Macaca mulatta: one gene and its partners. The protein of the gene in region 2 purifies or fractionates together with the protein of the main gene of each other region. This does not show direct contact. Links are inferred from orthologs where the notes say so. Each region holds a gene or a part of one and is shown on either strand. Other genes may lie near its edges. The genes, in order: TNNC2, DCAF6, CUL4A and CUL4B.

The links.
Region 1: the proteins of DCAF6 (region 2) and TNNC2 purify together in Homo sapiens (affinity purification with mass spectrometry; 3 studies listed by BioGRID and IntAct, with this or other methods). This does not show direct contact. The link is inferred for Macaca mulatta from reciprocal best matches to the Homo sapiens genes DCAF6 and TNNC2.
Region 3: the proteins of DCAF6 (region 2) and CUL4A purify together in Homo sapiens (affinity purification with mass spectrometry; 8 studies listed by BioGRID and IntAct, with this or other methods). This does not show direct contact. The link is inferred for Macaca mulatta from reciprocal best matches to the Homo sapiens genes DCAF6 and CUL4A.
Region 4: the proteins of DCAF6 (region 2) and CUL4B purify together in Homo sapiens (affinity purification with mass spectrometry; 6 studies listed by BioGRID and IntAct, with this or other methods). This does not show direct contact. The link is inferred for Macaca mulatta from reciprocal best matches to the Homo sapiens genes DCAF6 and CUL4B.

The regions. Positions count from the first base shown.
Region 1 is NC_133415.1:98,614,118-98,619,150, forward strand, and holds the start of TNNC2 (troponin C, skeletal muscle), read right to left. Parts: upstream 3,538-5,033; 5' UTR 3,494-3,537; coding exon 3,491-3,493; intron 1,090-3,490; coding exon 1,038-1,089; intron 902-1,037; coding exon 758-901; intron 670-757; coding exon 555-669; intron 392-554; coding exon 255-391; intron 1-254. UniProt on the Homo sapiens protein: Troponin is the central regulatory protein of striated muscle contraction. Tn consists of three components: Tn-I which is the inhibitor of actomyosin ATPase, Tn-T which contains the binding site for tropomyosin and Tn-C.
Region 2 is NC_133406.1:25,601,070-25,605,557, reverse strand, and holds part of DCAF6 (DDB1- and CUL4-associated factor 6), read right to left. Parts: intron 2,600-4,488; coding exon 2,494-2,599; intron 1-2,493. UniProt on the Homo sapiens protein: Ligand-dependent coactivator of nuclear receptors. Enhance transcriptional activity of the nuclear receptors NR3C1 and AR. May function as a substrate receptor for CUL4-DDB1 E3 ubiquitin-protein ligase complex.
Region 3 is NC_133422.1:107,452,271-107,457,271, reverse strand, and holds the start of CUL4A (cullin-4A), read right to left. Parts: upstream 3,132-5,001; 5' UTR 3,117-3,131; coding exon 2,969-3,116; intron 2,775-2,968; coding exon 2,659-2,774; intron 1-2,658. Other genes in the region: PCID2 (PCI domain-containing protein 2), read left to right, coding at 4,110-4,145. UniProt on the Homo sapiens protein: Core component of multiple cullin-RING-based E3 ubiquitin-protein ligase complexes which mediate the ubiquitination of target proteins. As a scaffold protein may contribute to catalysis through positioning of the substrate and the ubiquitin-conjugating enzyme.
Region 4 is NC_133426.1:126,930,636-126,935,123, forward strand, and holds part of CUL4B (cullin-4B), read right to left. Parts: intron 3,774-4,488; coding exon 3,668-3,773; intron 1,776-3,667; coding exon 1,603-1,775; intron 1-1,602.

The DNA of each region.
Region 1 (5,033 bases), on a different chromosome or scaffold from region 2:
CCGCTTCATCCTCCCAAAGTTCCAGGATTTTACAGTCCTGAGCCACCACGCCCCCACTGCCTGGTCATTAATTGATAAACTGCACAGAGTCGTGGGTGCTTCTATACCCGCCCCCAGGAGACTAGGGGAACTTTTGAAGTTATGCCCAGCCCAGCCCACAAGGCCAAAGACACTGCACGGGAGCCAGGCACCAGTGCTCGCCGTCCCCTGTGGCTCCCACCCACTCTTCCCAAGCTCCCGTGGCCCTCCCTCACCGTCGAAGTCAATGCGGCCGTCATTGTTCTTGTCTCCGTCTTTCATCAGAGATTCGATCTCCTCGTCCGTCACGTGCTCCCCAGAGGCCCTGAAAATCTCAGCCAGCTCCTCCGGGTCGATGTAGCCATCTGCATTCCTTCAGGTCCAAGGGTCAGGGCAGAGCTTAGGGCCAGGGCGAGCTGCCCTGGCCACCACACTCGACGCCCTGCTTCCGCACCCCCAACCCGGGGAACCCTCCAGCGCTGCCGGCAGGCTTTGACTGCTCAGCCCCTCCCTCGGCTCCCAGGCCCCCAGCGCACCTGTCGAAGATGCGGAAGCACTCGGCCAGCTCCTCCTCGCTCTTCCCCTTCGCGTCCTCTTTCATCTGGCGCACCATCATGACCAAGAACTCCTCGAAGTCGATGGTGCCGCTGCCTGCGGGGAGCAGGTGGTGGACTGAGCCTGAGCCCAGCCACTGCCGCCTTTCCCCACCATCCCCTGCCTCCGAGGGACACCCACTCACCGTCCTCATCCACCTCCTCGATGATGGCGTCCAGCTCCTCCTTGGTGGGTGTCTGGCCCAGCATCCTCATCACCGTGCCCAACTCCTTGACGCTGATGTCCCCACCACCATCAGCATCAAACATGTCAAAGGCAGCCTTGAACTCTGCACGGGAGGGCAGAGGGCAGAGGTGAGGCCAGCTGGACTGTCAGCCTCACATCTACCCCCCCAACCCTGCCCAGAGGCCAACATGTCCCCAGCATACATCCACCCAGCGCCCAGCCTGCTGCGCCTCACTCACCAGCGATCATCTCCTCGCTGAGGTAGGACCTGGCCTCAGCCTGCTGGTCCGTCTGCAGGAGACACAGAGAAAGTCTGAGCTGAAGAGGCAGCCCCAGGGCAGTTGCACACCTGAACCCCATTCTTCCCAACCCTCACTCTCTCAGCGCTTCTTGGTCCTCCAAAAGAACAACTTCAAACTTGCCACATAATTGTGTGCCCGCACAGCACCCAATCACAGTTTTGTTTTGCCTTGCTCTGTCACACAGGCTGGAGTGCAGTAGTGTGATCATAGCTCACTGCAGCCTCAACCTCCTAGGCTCAAGCAGTCGTCCCGCCTCAGCCTCCTGAGTAGCTGGGACTATAGTGCACACCATGCCTGACTATTTTTTAAGTTTTTGTAGAGACAGAGTCCCACTATATTACACAGGCTTGTTTTGAACTTCTGGGCTCGAGTGATCCTCTCACCACAGCCTCCCAAATTGCTAGGACTACAGGCTTGAGTTACTGTGCCCAGCTTCTGACCCCAGTTTTTGTTTTTGTTTTTTGTTTTTGTGACAGAGTCTCACCCTGTCGCCCAGGCTGGAGTACAATGGCGTGATCTCGGCTTACTGCAACCTCCACCTCCTGGGTTCAAGCGATTCTCCTCCCTCAGCCTCCCAAGTAGCTGGGATTACAGGCATGCGCCAACACGCCCGGCTAATTTTTGTATTTTTAGTAGAGACGGGGTTTCACCATGTTGGCCAGGTTGGTCTTGAACTCCTGACTTCAGGTGATCCACCCACCTTGGCTTCCCAAAGTGTTGGGATTACAGGCGTGAGCCACCATGGCTGGCCTGACCCCAGTTTTTTTGTTTGTTTTGTTTTGTTTTTGAGACAGAGTTTTGCTCTTGTTGCCCAGGCTGCAGTGCAATGGCACAATCTCAGTTCACCACAACTGCAACCCCCGCCTCCCAGGTTCAAGCGATTCTTCTCCCTCAGCCTCCCGAGTAGCTGGGATTACAGGCATGCACCACAATGCCCAGCTAATTTTGTATTTTTAGTAGAGATGAGGTTTCTCTATGTTGGTCAGGCTGGTCTTGAACTCCCGACCTTAAGTGATCTGCCCGCCTCGGCTTCCCAAAGTGATGGGATTACAGGCGTGAGCCACCACATGTGGCCTGTGACCCCAGTTTTGAGAAAAAGAGAGGAGACAACAAATTAAGCCCAAGGCCTTCTCACTTGTCAATTGAAGGCCAAGTCAGGAACCCCCCAGTGACCTTAGGCAAGTCACTTAGCATGCATTCATCTTTTCTCTGTAGCTTTTCAGGGATGAGATATCAGCGGTGTGAAAGGGTTTTGTAAAGGCTAGCACCATTCCAGCACTATTTTCCAGTTTTCTGTAGCTCCTAGTGGTGCCCGGTACTTTAATTGTTGCTCAATAAAATGTTTGTTCTCAAATAAATAATAATGCAACACAAAGTTATTGAGTACTTGCTGCACGTCAGGCCGCAGATCAGGCACTGGGACCACCAAGAAGAGACAGAGGACACATCATCCCGCCCCTCAGAGAACTGGCAGAGTCGGAGACTGTAAGCTTCCTTCTTAGGATTCAGTCATTGGAGAAAAGGCCCCTCATGTTGGGCCGAATGTGATGGAGGCCTTGACCTGAAAGTGAGATATCTGCGGGGGTTTCCAGGTCATACCCAAGCCAGGCCATCTGGGCCAGAGGCTTTGGATTGAGGCTGGCAGTGAGGACGGGGTGAGGCTTCCAAGGAGCTCTTCAGCCGGCTGGCTGCCGGCCCTCCTCCTTCTCCCCCTCCTTCCTCTCCTCCTCTTTCCCTGTGCCAGGAGGGCAGGCTATTTTTAGTCAGGCATGGGCAACAGCAGCTGGCCTCCGGGATCTAGTTACTCCTTGAAGTGAAGTGGGCAGGGGGATCTCAGACGAAAACAACAGCTCCAAATCAGAACCCCTCTCTAGGAGAGCAGAGTCTCTCTAACTCTGGTCTGTCATCTTCTGCCCCTTCCCATCATCCTCAGGGCTCCCAGAGCCCTGCATCTGAGCAGGCCCCACACCCTGCCCACCTCCTGTCTTCTGGACGAGGCTTTCTTCTCTCCATGATGATAGGAGGGTTTGCCAGGCTTCTGGCTCACCCCTGCCACTGGCCTGCTGGGTGACTCACTCTGACCCCTCAGAGTCCCCACTGTGTGAAGGAAACAAGCTAAGAGCTCCTCACAGGTCTACGAATGACACTGCTGGAAGTTTCCGAAGGTGAGTAGGCAGTCAGCAAGCCTTGAGGATCAATCTCTGGAATATCCCAGCCCTCCCCTTTCAAGAAAAGTCAAAGGCCTTCCTTTAAGACACCTGGGTTCCAGGAACCTCCATGCTCCAACCTCAAACATCCCAGTTACTGCCCCACAAAGCACTCAGGTCTGGCCTGAAAGAGGTCCAGAGTGCTCCCGCAAGTAAAGGCACAAAGTTCCCTCTTGTCCTTACCATGGTTGCTGGTGACCAGGACTCCTCTGCTGCAGGTCGCCTCCTTTGCACTCCGCCACCCAAAGATGCCCTGGCCTGCTCTAGCCCCCGGGATTTGTAGGGGCACCCTCCCCTCCCACCTCCCTGCTCCCCAGCACTGGAGACCCTGCCCAATCAGATCCTGGGGTCGGCGAGCCCCACCCCTCCCACAGTCTGAACCCATTACCTAATTTAGCCAAGGGCCCTTGCAGAGAAATTTAAGCCTCCAAGCAGGTGGCAGGCCTTGACGTCCTAGATTCTTGTGAGGAAGTCCCGCCCTGTTCCACCGCCTTGGAGTCCCCCCGACCAAGGAAGCACACTAGCTCCAAGATGGTAAGGACTATCAGAGTAGTAAAGAGTGAGGCAGCATGGTAAAATGGGGAGAGTACAAGCCTTGAAGTCCAAAACCCAAGATCCAAGGCCAGCCTCTGCGAGCTGTGTGACCTTGGGCAGGTAGCAGTGCCTCTCTGAGTCATTTCTTCATCTGTGGGAATGGACCTCTCTGTGGGGTCTCCCTCACAGAGAGAACATGGTAAATGGGAACCCAGGTATAAGTCACCTAGCTTGTGCCGGGTACACAGCGTTGATGCTTGGCAAGAGGAATGTCCTGTCTTTGAACCATGGTAAGGGGCAGGGGATAGAAGGAGGGGAAAGTGACAGCTAGGCCACTGTTTACTGAACCCCCACAATGTGCCACACACTGTGCTAAGCATTTTAACATGATCTCATCTAGTGCTCCTCCTATGAGATAGCAACTATTATTATCTCCATTTGACTGCAGAGATTTGTAAATCATAAAGGTCTATACTCACTCTGTCACCAAGGCTGATGTGCAGTGGTACTATTATAGCTCACTGCAGCCTCGATCTCCTGGGCTCAAGTGATCCTCCCACCTCAGCCTCCCGAGTAGCTGGGACTAGCAGTGCGCCACCACCCCTGGCTTTTTTTGTTTTCCTTTTTTGTATTTTTTGTAGAGATGGGGTTTCACCATGTTGCCCAGGCTGGTCTCGAACTCCTAGGCTCAAGGCATCCTTGAATCCTTGGCCTCCCGAAGTACTAGAATTACAGGCATGAGGCACCATGCCCACCCATGTTGATGATTCTTATTATTAATCCCGATTGGAAGGAAGTTGGGACAGACAGTCCTTGGGGGACCTGTCTAGATGGAAAAATGTATGGAGGGATGGAGGAGAGGAGGATGTGCATTTGGAGGAGAAATAATCATTGAAAGCAAAGATCCTTCTCTCAAAGTTACCTTCTCCATGGAAAGGGTGTTTGGATTCACTTTTTGGGGGTAAGGAGTAGGCAAGGGAAGGTTATTTAAGTGGTAAAGGGGTAGCTGGCCCCTTCCTAGAGCTCAGTGAAGACATCTGGTCATCTGGGGAGTAAAGGGGTGGGCAAAGCAAGTCCAGAGGGAACCCACCCTGAGAATCCACAAGGTAAAGGCTGGGCACTGGGGAGTAGGCAAGACTTGTGGACAGTGACTACGTCGACAGAAAGAGCACCAAGACAACCGATAGCAGGC
Region 2 (4,488 bases):
CACTTACTGATGGAGTCAATCTGAAAACGATTTAATAAGTTACTGTGATCTCAATAGGATGACAGGCTTTGCAAACCCATGACAGAGAAATGATAATTATCTGTGCCAAGGTCCAGAGGTATAATGGGAAGAATGTCAAGAGATAATGCAGGGTTTTATAAGACATGTTAACACATTTGGACTCTACCCTAAGAACATGTGTGGGCAAAGGAGAATTTTACACAGGGCAGTAAAGTGATTCTAAGACATTCTAGAGGAGTCTAGAATGATCCATGCACACCATTACCATCTTTTCAAAGCCTCTCAAAACTTCCAGGGATGTTAGAACTGCCTTTCCATCTCAAGAGGCCACTAGACTAGCAGTCTTTAGTGCATTATTCATGAGATGAACTTTGGTTGCTTTTTAAAAATGTAGAAGCTTAATCTCTATCCAGCTAAAATGAACCAGAATCTTTAGCAGGTGAGACCTAGGTAAGTATTTGTAGTTTGTAAAAGCCCTACAGGTGATTTGAAGAGGATCCTTCATTAAAAATCACAGCTCCAATAGAAAGAAACTGTCTTCTATCTATTCCCTGGACTTCCTAGGAAGCCTTCTGGAGTAATGGATGAGCCAAGAGGTACTTTGTGGCTACCATGTGCTTATTTGATCCAAGTCCATTTTTAACTCTCCTGAACATGCACACATTATTGTACTTGGAATGCAGGACACTGGATAGGAGAGGAAAAGAGTGGTTGACTAACTGACCCATCAAATAACTAGATATCTTAAGGATAAGGGCAGCAGAAATACAACTCTTGGGCACTTTATTCTATCTAGTATTTTGTATAAGAGAAGCAAGAAGACAAGCTGACTAAATCAACTAGAAATTGTCTTTTTGATTGCTGGCAAAAAGAGATGAAAGAAAGAGAATTTTTATATTATAAAACATCTTATCTAATTCTAAAACCAAAGAAGGATGGTAGTAGCTATTAACTAACCAACCATTGCCACATTAGCACAAATTAGATTTTTGTGCAACTGGAAAGAGAATTTTCTGCAGGAAAACTACTGAAGAAGAGCCATCCACTAGATGGGTAAGCACATTTTAGGTGTCATTACCAGTAAATGTTTTTCTTGTTTTAAAATGCGGCTTCCTCAAATGTGGAATTCAAATGGATGAATTTTACGGGTTACTTGCTGTTATTGAACAAAATATATTTTTAAAAAGTTAAAGTGTTATTACAATTTAATAAACAGAGGAACCCAAAGAAGTATTACAAAAACATTTTGTTGGTCTACTAACATTTTTTGTTTACATTCCAGGTTTATTTTTTGTTGTTATTTTCACCATTTGAAGTTTTCCCTCCTTCCTGGTAATAGTTAACATTTACATTTGAGGATTATTTTCTCTCTAATTCTTTTAATTACAAACATATGGGTCTTCTTTCAATTTTTCAGATGTGCTACACTTTCTCTCCTCTGTAAGGGCTTAGAAAAATGCTATCTGCTGTCTACTTTGTGTGGAATACTTGTTTCCATTCCCCACTCTCTCTGAGGAAGTGATATTTAGTTCATTGCTCATGCAGTTCTTAAAATAAGAAGTTATCTTAACAGAGTGAGGATGGGAGGGGACAGCATGATTATAAAAACGCTGAGGTGGGAAAGAGTTTGATGTATCCCCAAAAATCAAAGAGGGCCAGTGTGGATGGAGTAGTCACAGAAGAAAAGAATGCTGTAAATCAGCTAGAATAGTTTGAGATTAGACCATCCAGAGGTTTGCATGTCATATCAATGATTTCAATATAGTTCTGTAAGTGAAACTTACAGTTCAAAGGGGAGTAAGGGCTTGGTAGCTAATTTCAAATTCTGGCTTTAACATTTATCAGTTGTGTGACTTGGGCTAACAATTGGAGCTAAATGAGGATAAAACTGTGAAATAATTAGTATAAGCCTGATACATTATAGTTACTCTAAAAATGGTAGCTATTATTATTAAATGAGAGCTAATACCAAACGTATAGAGACATTTATGAAATCAGTGAAGAGTGATAAACTCTTTTGTTTGATAAACGTATTTTGCTTATAACAGATACTAGACCTTTTGTTATAAATTATTCGATTCCTTCTTGAACATTAGTTGTAATATATGCATTTTTATGTATCTGTGGCACTGCACCTCAGAGTTTATCTAAAACAAAAAAATACTGAAAAAACAAACTGAGGTATGTTTCATTTCTTAGCATGTAACATTTATTTTTGTCTGGGCTATGACTGATTTTCAACAAACCTACCATTAAAGAATATGCACTATATCTTAAGGTCTACAAATGTAGTTCATGAGGAACTAAGTTACTGTGCTAAGAACAAGCATTCACAGAAATCCTAGTTTAGAAGTTAAGCTACCTTCATTTTGTGATATTAAAAAATATATAAACCCCTTTAAAGTAGATCTTAAATAATAACATGTTTTTCAAATATAAAAGTGGTTTTCGTAGTATACTTAAAGTTCCTACCAGCTCGGATATGATTCAGTGAAGCCAACATCCTCAACATGAAAGAGGCTGGAACTGTAATGGTGTTTCTAGTTTCTTCCAGCATGAGTTCATTTCGAGTTATAACCTACAAGGCAAGTTAAAAATCATATCAAAGATCAAAGCGTAACTGTACCTTTTCCTTGAAGATCAGGCAAACAATAAACAATCAGCCAGTACCAGGAGGAATTACTTCATTCTTTATGCATCTGATGTCTACATTTCTGCCTTAAGTCTATTCAATGCCAAACAATCACTGTAGCTTGCATTTAAAGGAGGAAGGTCAGAGAACACAACTCTTTCAACTGGCAGAAAAACAAAGGTCAAACTTAAAACATGAGGCTGCTTAAAACAGTTAAGAATTTAATTTAGCTTTTACTTGCAGTTTCTTTCTGAGAGCAATTTACTTTGTAGGTTCCTTGTTTTCCCTATAGGAGAACTGATAACTTTAGCGATACAATACAGTTAAATTATTATCCATGGGCCACTTGAATCCGTTCAGAAGATGTTGCCTTGACTGAAGCAGAGTAGTCTTCAAAAATAAATTTTGGGGCAAGGGTTAACAAGGAACTGAGCCTTAAGTACCAAGAATAGTACTTGAATATTCGTGAACATCCAGAGATGCAATATGTAACCATGAGCAAAGGAAAAAAGTGGAAAAGCAAAAAACATGGCAAAGGAAAAAAAGGATGAAAGGAAGAGTATCAGATGAAGAGAAAGATGCTACTCTGATCAACAATTCCCCAATACTGAAATAATAAATTCCCAACTCATTAGGGTGCCTCACAGGGCCCTTTATAATCTTACCCTCACCTACCTGTTTAGTTTGATTGAGCTACTTTTGTGCATGTACTCTAGGGTTCCAGGCACACTGATGGTTCATTTACCCTCTCATGCTTTGGCACATGCTGATCCTTCTGTCTTAAATGCTCCTTTGCTCCCAATCTGCCTGGTGAACTATTCTCAGACTTCTGTCCAATTCTTATTTCTTCTGTGAAGACCTCTCCACCTCATCTACCCCACTTACAAACACAGCTGTTCCTCTCTGTGGGCTTCCGAAACACTGTGTGTATACCTCTGACGGACACAGACCCCACTACAGTATGTTCTAGTTGTTTACACTGTCTTTCCTACTAAACTCTGAGGGTAGGGCTTTATCTTTTTTAAACCCAGCATTATGTATAACATACATCAAGTGTTTTATAAAGGTCTATTCAATGAGTGAAAGTATACATGGGAATTGTGCTACGAACAGTCAGTGTTAGTCTAGAGTAGTGGTTTTCCAACTTACTAACATTTTTCGCAATGGATTCTCATTTTCATAAGAAATAGTATATGAGAACCCACAAATAAAAACCCTGGCTGAAGTTGGGGGGGGAAAGGCCCAGAGTAATGCCTTCCTATTATCTACCTTCCCTCTCCCAATCCCAGAAGAAATCTAGAGCTCCAAAGAACTCATGTTGAAAATACCGTTTCAACAGGCTTAAAAATATCTTAAAATATAATGATAAAGGAAAAGATTCTTCAATCATTTGTTCTGCTATATACTAATTCTGAAAAAGAAAGTTCCATTTCCTTTTTAAGAAAAACTCAAAATGGAAAAATAGCTATACTAAAAATGGAAAAATTGCTATGCTTTTGGAGAAACAGCCATAATAAAATTATTTTCTTAAAAGGACAGAATTTTTTGTGTGTGATTCTTTATTGTAATGACGTGAATACTCAAACCTGTTTTTCTTAAACTACACACTAATCTGGTATTACTGATGATCAGTATTATAATTAGTAAGCTACTATTTTGATTTTACCTCCCTAGTATTATAGACATACTTTTATCTTAATTTTTCTTTTTCTTAAAATTTGACCTCCTTAACTGCATTAACTTGTTTCATATTAGCAACTAATAATAAACTGTTTTAATTTTTCTTAGGGAAGCATTTTAGGAACAAATTGAAATATGGTCTGTAGTAAGTACAA
Region 3 (5,001 bases), on a different chromosome or scaffold from region 2:
GAAAATACTGACTCTAGATTTTTTGTTTGTTTGTTTATTTTTTGAGATGGAGTCTCATTCTGTTGCTCAGGCTGGAGTGCAGTGGCACAACCTCGGCTCACTGCAACCTCTCCCTCCCGGGTTCAAGCGATTCTCTGGCCTCAGCCTCCCGAGTAGCTGGGATTCCAGGCGCCTGCCACCACGCCCGGCTAATTTTTTGTATTTTTAGCAGAGATGGGGTTTCACCATGTTGGCCAGGTTGGTCTCAAACTCCTGAGTGCTCAGGTGATCCACCCGCCTTGGCCTCCCAAAGTGCTGGGATTACAGGCATGAGCCACTGCACCCGCTCTGACTCTAGATTTATATTTCACAATATATACAAAAATTCACTCTACATAGATCATAGACCTAAATGTAAAACCTAAAACTCTCAAATGTCTGGAAGAAAATATAAGAGAAAACTTTGTGACCTTAGATTAGGCAAGATTTCTTGGATACTAAAAGTACAGTCCATAGAAGAACAAACTGATACATGTGACCTGAAAACTTAAAACTATTACTCTTCAAATGGCACAATTAAGAGAATCAAAAGACAAGTTGAAGACTAGGGAGAAAGTATTTGTAAGGCGAATATCTGATACAGGACTTGTATCCAGAATACTTAATAAACTCAAATACTCAATAGTAAGAAAATAACCAACACAACAAAAATGAGCAAAATATTTAAATAGACACTTCGTCTAAAAAGATACATAGAATGGCAAGTAAATATGAAGATGCTTCACATCAGAGGGAAATGCAAACTAAAACCACAGCGACACTCCACCACACACCCACTAGCGCAGCTAAAATTATAGGCTGAGGACACCACATGCTGGTGGCGGACTGGAACTGGAACTCCCATACACTGCTGGGAGAGGCACAAAAGGGGCAGCCACTGTGAAAAACAAGAAATTTCATAAAAAGGTAAACATATATTTTCCATATGACCCTTGAGAACTTACTTCTAGATAAAGAAGTAAGCAGAACTTACCTGAGAGGAATAAGAATGTATGTCCAAACAAAGGGTCATTCACAGATGTTCACAGCAGCTTTATTTAAAACAACCCAAGGCCGGTGCAGGGGCTCACGCCTGTAATCGCAACACTTTGAGAGGCCAAGGCAGGCGGATCACCTGAGGTCAGGAGTTTGAGACCAGCCTGACCAACATGGTGAAAATACAAAAATTAGCCAGGTGTGGTGGCGGGTGCCTGTAATCTCAGCTACTTGGGAGGCTGAGGCAGGGGAATCGCTTCAATCTGCGAGGTTGCAGTGAGCCAAGATCGCGCCACTGCACTCCAGCCTGGGGTGACAAGAGTGAAACTCTATCTCAAAGAAACAAATAAAAAACCCCAAACATGGACACTCAAATGTCCATTAACTGATGAATGGAGAAAATAACTGTGGTATACCCATTCTATGAGGTAATAAACAAGTTACAATCACATTGCGTGCACATGAATCTCAAAAGCACTGTCCTAAGTGAATGAAGCCAGACACTACAAAATAGATGACTGCATTTAGATAACGTTCTGGAAATGACAAAATATAGCGACAGAAAGCAAATGGGGGACTGCCAAGGGTTAGGAGTCAGGGGAGAGGGCTGATTGCAAAAGTGGTCATGGCAATTTCGGGGGTGGTAAAAATATTCTACCTTTCTACCAAGAAGAGTCTATCTTGACCATGGTGCCGGTTACATAACGGTATATATACATCTGTTAAAACTTCTTGGAGTGCATATTATATGTAGACTGTATCTCAAAGCTGACAAGAAAACATAACTCACTTACACTTCAGACAAAGAATGGATGTGTATGTACACCAAACTGTCAACAGTTTTCTTTGGGTGGTAGGAGTATAGGTGATTGAAGTCTTCTTTTATATATTTTTTATAATTTTTACAATGCAGTCACTTGCATATCCAGAAAAGAATTTTTTTAATTCAAGTATTTTCACAGAAATAAGTGTATGACACATCGTGACCCAAAATGTAGATATCAGACTACTTAATGAACGTTGTTTTACAAAAAGACGACGCCAGAAAAAAACATCCGCATGTAAATAAAATATCCAAGTACGGTAAAATGCACTTTTAGCCATTTTTTGTTACTTTATAAATGGAACACCATCACTTTGAATTAAACGCTACAAAATCTGAATATCTTAAAGGCAACCACTGATCACAAAACAGAGAAGAAAAGCACTGTTTTTGAATTTTGAAGTTTTTCAAAATCTGAATATCTTAAAGGGAACCATTAATCACAAAACACAACAGAGAAAAAACCCTATTACTGTGGCAAGTGACACAGTACTAACAGTTTTATTTATAACGAGAGAAATAATTTGCTGTATACTTGCAAAATATGAGTCACGTGGCTCCTAGAAACACACCTCCTTCTCTTCGGTAATGGGATAACTTTAAGAATCGTTCTAAGCAGCTTAAGCCTGAAAACAAAAATTCCACCACGGCAATAAACAAAACCACTTGTTGCCTCTGGGGCTCCCGGCCCTGCAGTGGAGGCAAACGCCCTGCCTTTCCGCTCCCCGGCGAGAGCCTGCGAGGCACCCGGAGCGGCCGCCCGGCCGCGTCTGCGTCACGCGGGGCAGGAGCGGCGCCCCCAGCCTCGGCCGCCGCCTCACCTGGTAGAGCTCCTCGAGGTTGTACCTGATGGAGGTGCTGCTCTGCACGGCCCGCACCGCCTCGTGCAGCTTCCGCCACGTGTCTTGCGTGTAGTTGTCGGGCAGCCGGGGTCTGTCTGCAGGGCGGAGAGAGAGCGGGCGGCTCAGGGCGCGCCGCGAAGCGCCCCGCGTCGCCACCCCCGACCCGGCCGGCGCCCCAGCGCCCGCGCTCAAGAGGCCCGTACGGATCTCGGGCCTTCCCCCCAGGGCGGGCGGGGTCTCGTGGGGCCCGCTGGGGTCGCCCGGCCCTCGACCCGGCCGCCGCACCCACCTCGGAAGTTCTTGATGACCAGCTTCTTGGAGCCGCCCGCGCCCCCCGGCTTGGCGGGCGCGGCGGCCAGGGCCGCGGGCTTGGTGAGGCCGTTGGTGCGGCCCACGAGCGCCGAGAAGCTGCCCTTCCGCGGGGCCTCGTCCGCCATGGCTGGGCCGGAACCGCCGCGCCCCGCCCCGAGCGCCGCCGCCCGCCCAGCTCCGCTCCGCCCGCCCCGGTCCGCGCGGCCTCCGCCCAGTCCTCCTCGCGCGCCCCGCCCCGCCCCGCCCGCGTGCCCGAGTCCAACCGCCGCCGCGCCCGGCTACTGCTGAGCCCTTAGGGGCGCGCGCTGGGAACCCCTCCTGAGGGATCGGACCCCCCCTAAGAGCTTCGGACACCCATTCCTGGCTCGAGGGCGCGCGCCGGGACCCCCACCCCCGCCCCCGAGGGATCGGGACAGCCCCGGTTCCGGGGGGCGCACCGGGACACCCCCGGGGCTCTGGGTACCCCCTCCTGGCTCGGGGGTGCGTGCCGGGGGCCCCCTCCTGAGGGGCTCGGGAGCCGGGACCCCCTCCTGAGGGCCCCAGGGAGCGCTCCTCCTGAGGGTTCGGCACCCGCACCCGGGGCGTGAGACCACCTCGAGGGCTTGGGGGTGCGCGCCGGGACGTGCCCCAACTTCTGAAGTCTCGGGAGCGCGCGGCGGAGGCACCTTATGAGAGCTCGGGAGCGCGCGCCATGTCCCTCCCCTCCACCCTCGCTCGGGCGCGCGCGTCCCGAGTCCCTGGCCCAGCCCGGCGCGGAGCGTGATCCGCGGCCTCGTTTTCACAAGGGGCAGTCGAGGGGACAGCGCAGTGAAAGGCACTTTAGCAGTGGGGCTGTTCTCGCCACTGGACCCCAAACCCCTCAGCCCGGGCGGGCCCGAACACACAATCAGAGTCGCTGGCGTCCCGGCTGAGAGGACGGGGGCCCGACAGAAAGACCCCGGGACCCCTTAGCCCGAGCGTGTCGCCGAGCCGGTCCCTGGATTCTCCCTCCGGAACCACCCTGCGCACAGGAGACGGGGTCGGGGGCTCCGGGACCCAGACGGACCGAGGGCAGGAAGTGACGCCAGCTGTCCCGCTTGGGGTGTAGGGGGTGGCGCTCTGTGCTCGGCGGCGCTGCCATGGCACACATTACCATCAACCAGTACCTGCAGCAGGTGGGTCCTAGCCGGGGAGCGCGCGGCGGTGTGGCTGGCCCTCGGCGTGTTCCGTGTGTCCCCTCCTGCCTTGGACCCTCAGGCGTCTTCCTTTCGCGCCTCGCCCCCTGTCCTCTGTCCGGGTCCCCGGCGGGCAGCGGCGCGAGCCGACTGAAAGGCCGAACAGCGGCGGCCGGGGCTCCCCTGCAGGGCCGCCGTGGGGGCCGGGCGGTGTCCGTGGATCGCGGAGTTGTCGCGGTGTAAGTAGACGCGGGGGCTCCAGGTCACTGCCCTCATTGCTGGCGTGTGTGGCCGCGCCCCCAGGGGGCCCGAAGGGCCTGCGAGCCGCGCCAAGGGCCCGGTGTGGGCGGTGCTGTGTCGGGTGGACGCTGCTTCCCAGCAGGATGCGGGATGACTTCGGGGACTCCAGGAGGCGATGGAGGGGTAAGCGCGAGGCTGTGGCGGTGTTTCAGGCCGGGCTGGTGTCCCTGGTCTTCGCTGTGTTTTAACGCCCTTCACTCTCCAAGCACAATGCACACTTCATATCGCTCGGTAGATGCGTCTGACGGGTGTTGTTCAACAGCCTTACAGGCTTCAAAGCGCATATTCTTTCCACTTAACTATGCCTGTCCTCAGAACCAGCACTGTGGTAACAGGAATAGGAAAAATAGGGAATGGATTTTTAAAATATTTGAAGGAAACATTACCAGGACGTGGTGAATAAGAATGGGTGGGCTGAGGGACACCGAGGAGTTAAGAATGATTCCCAGGTTTGTAGTCTGGGAAAAAGATGAATAGAGTGGATTTGGAGGGAGAAATAAATTAAGTTTTGGGCATGTTGAGTTTGAGGTATCTGTTGACAACTAGGTAAAGATAC
Region 4 (4,488 bases), on a different chromosome or scaffold from region 2:
GGTTTACCAATCTTGATGCTAAAGCAAAAATGTTCACCTTTCGTAACTAAACCAAAAAAAGTCTGGGCTTTTTGCAGCAGTTTCTTCCTGGTACAGCATAAACATTTTAAAAGTAAGGACATGGTAATCCTTTAAGAAAATATCCTTTGATGTGTATGTGAAAATGACAGGAACTTGTTTGAAGATACTGGTTGCTGTCCTACATTAAAACTTTTCTCCGCTGAGCGCAGTGGCTCACACATGTAATCCCAGCACTTTGGGAGGCCGACGTGGGTGGATCGTGAGGTCAGCAGTTCGAGACTAGCCTGGCCAATCTGGTGAAAACTCATCTTTACTTAAAATACAAAAATTAGCTGGGCGTGGTGGTGCACGCCTGTAGTCCCAGCTACTCAGGAGGCTGAGGCAGGAAAACCACTTGAACCCAGAAGGCAGAGGTTGCAGTGAGTCAAGATCGCGCCACTGACTCCAGCCTGGGTGACAGAGTGAGACTCCACATCAAAAAAAAAAAAAAAAATTTTTTTTTTTCAAATATTGCATTAAACCTTATTGGAACTGAAACCATCAGTTTCAGGATGCTGCAGTTGGAAGTCTCTTACAAATTCAAATGGCAAAAACAAACAAAATATTCACCTTCACTGTTTTTGTTTTTTTCTTTTTTTTAGACAGAGTCTCACTCTGTCACCCAGGCTGCAGTGCAGTGGCGCAATCTCAGCTCACTGCAACCTCCACATCCTGGGTTCAGGTGATTCTCATGCCTCAGTCTCCCAAGTAGCTGGGACTACAAGCACGCACTACCACGCCCAGCTAATTTTTATATTTTTAGTAGAGACAGGGTTTCACCACGTCGGCCAAGCTGGTCTTGAACTCCTGACCTCAGGTGATCCACCCGCCTCGGCCTCCCAAGGTGCTGGCATTACAGGCGTGAACCACCGTGCCTGGCCCACCTTCACTGTTAATCAAACAAATAGTGAATAAATCATTCAGATTTTTCACCAAGCAAGTTGGAAAAAGAAAATATAATCTTTAGTGCTGGTGGACATAGTAAGACAGGCTCTCATATGCTGCTGGACAGAGTATAAACTGGTTCAGTCTTTCTGGAACACAATATGACATTATGTACTAAGACTCCTAAAATGTTCATACCCTTTAACCCAAAAAAATCTACTTCCACACATTTATCATATATCAAAGAGATTAAAATTTAGGTTCAAAGAGGTTTCTTGCAATTTTATTTATAATACTAAAAAGTCATGAATTTAATTGCCCCAAAATGAACAGTGGTTGAATAAACTGTAAGAGCCATGTAAAAATATTACACTGCCATTTGCCATTTTTTGAAGCTATTTAATGGCATGGAAAAATTCTAAAGATTGAATATTAAATAAACAAAGTAGGATATAAAACCATGTTGAGTATCAACCCAATCCTGTACAAGCACTCTCCCAAAAACCCAAAATCAAATACGGAAATATATTTAGCTGGACATAGCAGAGAAAATGTTAATGGTATTGGCAGTATTACAGGTATAAAATCTTTATATATTTTAATTATTAACATGTATAATTCCAGTGTGTTAGGACTAGGAGAAAGTGAAAGAAATACCGTTTCTTTCATCTGGATTTGATTGATCTTTATCCTGAAAAGTTTGTGTTTGAAATCATCATTACAAATGAACTTGTCACCATCTTCAATATCTTTGCCCTTTGGATTTTTTGCCAGAACTCTAGCTTTGCCACAGGCTAATGACTGCAGTGTTCTCCTTAACTCTCCATCCTCTGAAGAAGAAAGAGAGGTTTAGTTATTTGTTACCAGCATGAACAACTACCACATTCTACCTCAATCTAGTTTCCACTCCATCCCCCTATTAAAACTGTTTCATTTTTTCCCAAAGGTCACCAACAACTCTTCTTTGTCCTAGCCAATGGCTTTTTTCCTAGTTCTCTTCTTTTTTTAAAAAAAATAGAGACGGGGTTTCACCATGTTGCCCAGGCTGGTCTCAAACTCCTGAGCTCAAGTGATCCACCCGCCTTGGCCTCCCAAAGTGCTGGGATTACAGGTGTGAGCCACCACACCTGGCCCCTAGTCATCTTTTAAAGGTGTCAATTATCATATGATGTGCGCAACTACCAAATCTTCCAAAATGACATTTCACTTCTCTCCAGTTGCACGTTTAAATGGCAATTCCGCCTGGCTGTTTTACTATCAACTGTAGTCACGTCCAAAATTTGATTCATCATCTCTATATAACTGTGTCCTCTTTCCAACTGTCAGTGGTGATACTACTAACCTTCGCAATTGGGAAACCCTGAAATCATCTTTTAACTTTTCCTTCTCCCTCATCCTCAACATAATAGCTAGCTGTTGCTTCTGCAGAGATGAATTTTCTCCATTTTCATGGCCTCATTCTAGTCTAAGGCCCTTCCACTTTATGCCTGAATCATCCCAACAGCGTCTAAACTGGAATCCCTTGATCCTTCCAGTTGCCCTGTACATTGATTTCAGTAAGTGGTCCAAATAATTACTTCCACCACGCCACATAGTTGAGACACTACAATGTAGGTTTGCATTTGCTAGATTTATCAGGTTCTCCACAATCAGGCACTACTCATCCTACCTAATTTTTTAACTCACTATTCTGTTACAATTAAGCTCTTCATGATTCTTCATGATTCCGTGCTACAATTAAGCTCTTCATGGGCCTATACTGTGCCCATTCCTACCTCCAATCTCATCTCAAAATATTTCCCCTTGCTGTATATGCCTTCTCCCTGACCAAAACTTGAAGGCCTAGCTCAAATGCCACTTGCTTCATGACAGCTTTCCCAATTGTGCTAGTCCACAGTGATCCCTTGCTTTGTTGAACTCCTACCACACTTAGTCAGTACCACAAGCCAGTACTTATTGGTTCTGACATTATTTCAAGTGTCATTTCCCCCTTTCCCTATGGTTATATTAAGAGTTTTGGCCAGGCGCAGTGGCTCACACCTGTAATCCCAGCACTTTGGTAGGCCGAGGCAGGCGGATCACGAGGTCAGGAGTTCGAGACCAGCCTGGCCAACATGGTAAAACCCTGTCTCTACTAAAAATACAAACATTAGCCAGGTGTGGTGGTGGGCACCTGTAATCCCAGCTACTCAGGAGGCTGAGGCAGGAGAATCACTTGAACACAGGAGGTAGTGGTTGCAGTGAGCTGAGATCACGCCGCTGCACTCCAGCCTAGGTGACACAGCAAGATTCCATCTTGACAGGGGGAAAAAAAAAGAGTTCTGGCTGGGTGCAGGGGCTCATGCACGTAATCGCAGTACTTAGGGAGGCTGAGGCAGGAAGATCCCTTGAGCTCAGGAGTTTGAGACCAGGCTAAGCAACATAGTGAGACCCTGTCTCTGCAAAAAAAATTCTAAAAATTAGCCAGGCATGGTGGCATGCACTTGTAGTCCCATCTGCTTGGGAGACTGAGGCAGGAGAATCACTTGATCCTGAGCCATGATTGTACCACTGGACCCCAGCCTGGGTGACAGACTGAGACCCTCGTTAAAGAAAAAAAAAAACCCTCAAAAGAGTTCTGAGGCAAGGGATTATTCCTATAAATGTCCCTCAGACCTCTTAACACAGTGGTATGCACATAGTGAACACTTAATGTTTGCTAATCAACCAATTCAATACAAACCTATTCCGGTTGCCTGCTTGATCTCTTCTAAACTGAACTCCTCTCCCTCATTAAACATTAGCAGCACCAGTGTTTGAAAAAGAGAGACCTGGAGTTCTTTTTTACCCTGTTGAAGAAATAAAAGTGTTTAGCCATTACTTTTTTAAAAACACATGAAAAATTAATCAAATCATCTCTTACAGGAAAAGCATTTTTCAATTAGTAGATTTAGAAACATGATTAGCATTATCCAGCAAAGCCACTTGACGTGGTAATACAGTATTTCAGTGTGGGGTTTAGGTGTGACCCTACCTAAAACAGGGGGAAGGATTAGCTGACCTTTTAACAGTTTTTTTTAAGCCTTATAAATAGAATAAAGTAATGAAAATTAATCAGCCTTATGTGTCATTCTAGATCTTCATCACAAGCAGCAAGAAATCACCATTTCAAATGTATTTTTTATTTGTTTGGCTCAGATTAGTCATGAAAAGCTAAAGTTTTTTGAGATTAGATATTGCACACTGTTCCCCTTAACTCCCACTCTATTCGTAGCTCCCAGCAACAAAATTTCTGTCAAGAAGTGGCAGTGTTAGGCTGGGTGTAGTTGCTCATGCCTGTAATCCCAGCACTTTAGGAAGCGGAGGCAGGAAGATAGCTTGAGCCCATAAGTTTGAGGTTACAGTGAACTGTGATTGTGCCACTGTACTCCTGCCTGGGTGACAAGAGTGGGACCCTGTCTCTAAAAGTAAATAAATAAATAAAAATAGGAAGTGGCAGTGTAAAGTTTTCATCTACAGGTGAGGAAAGAGTAGGGGAAAAGTTCATTGCTTTTCGTTTTGCAA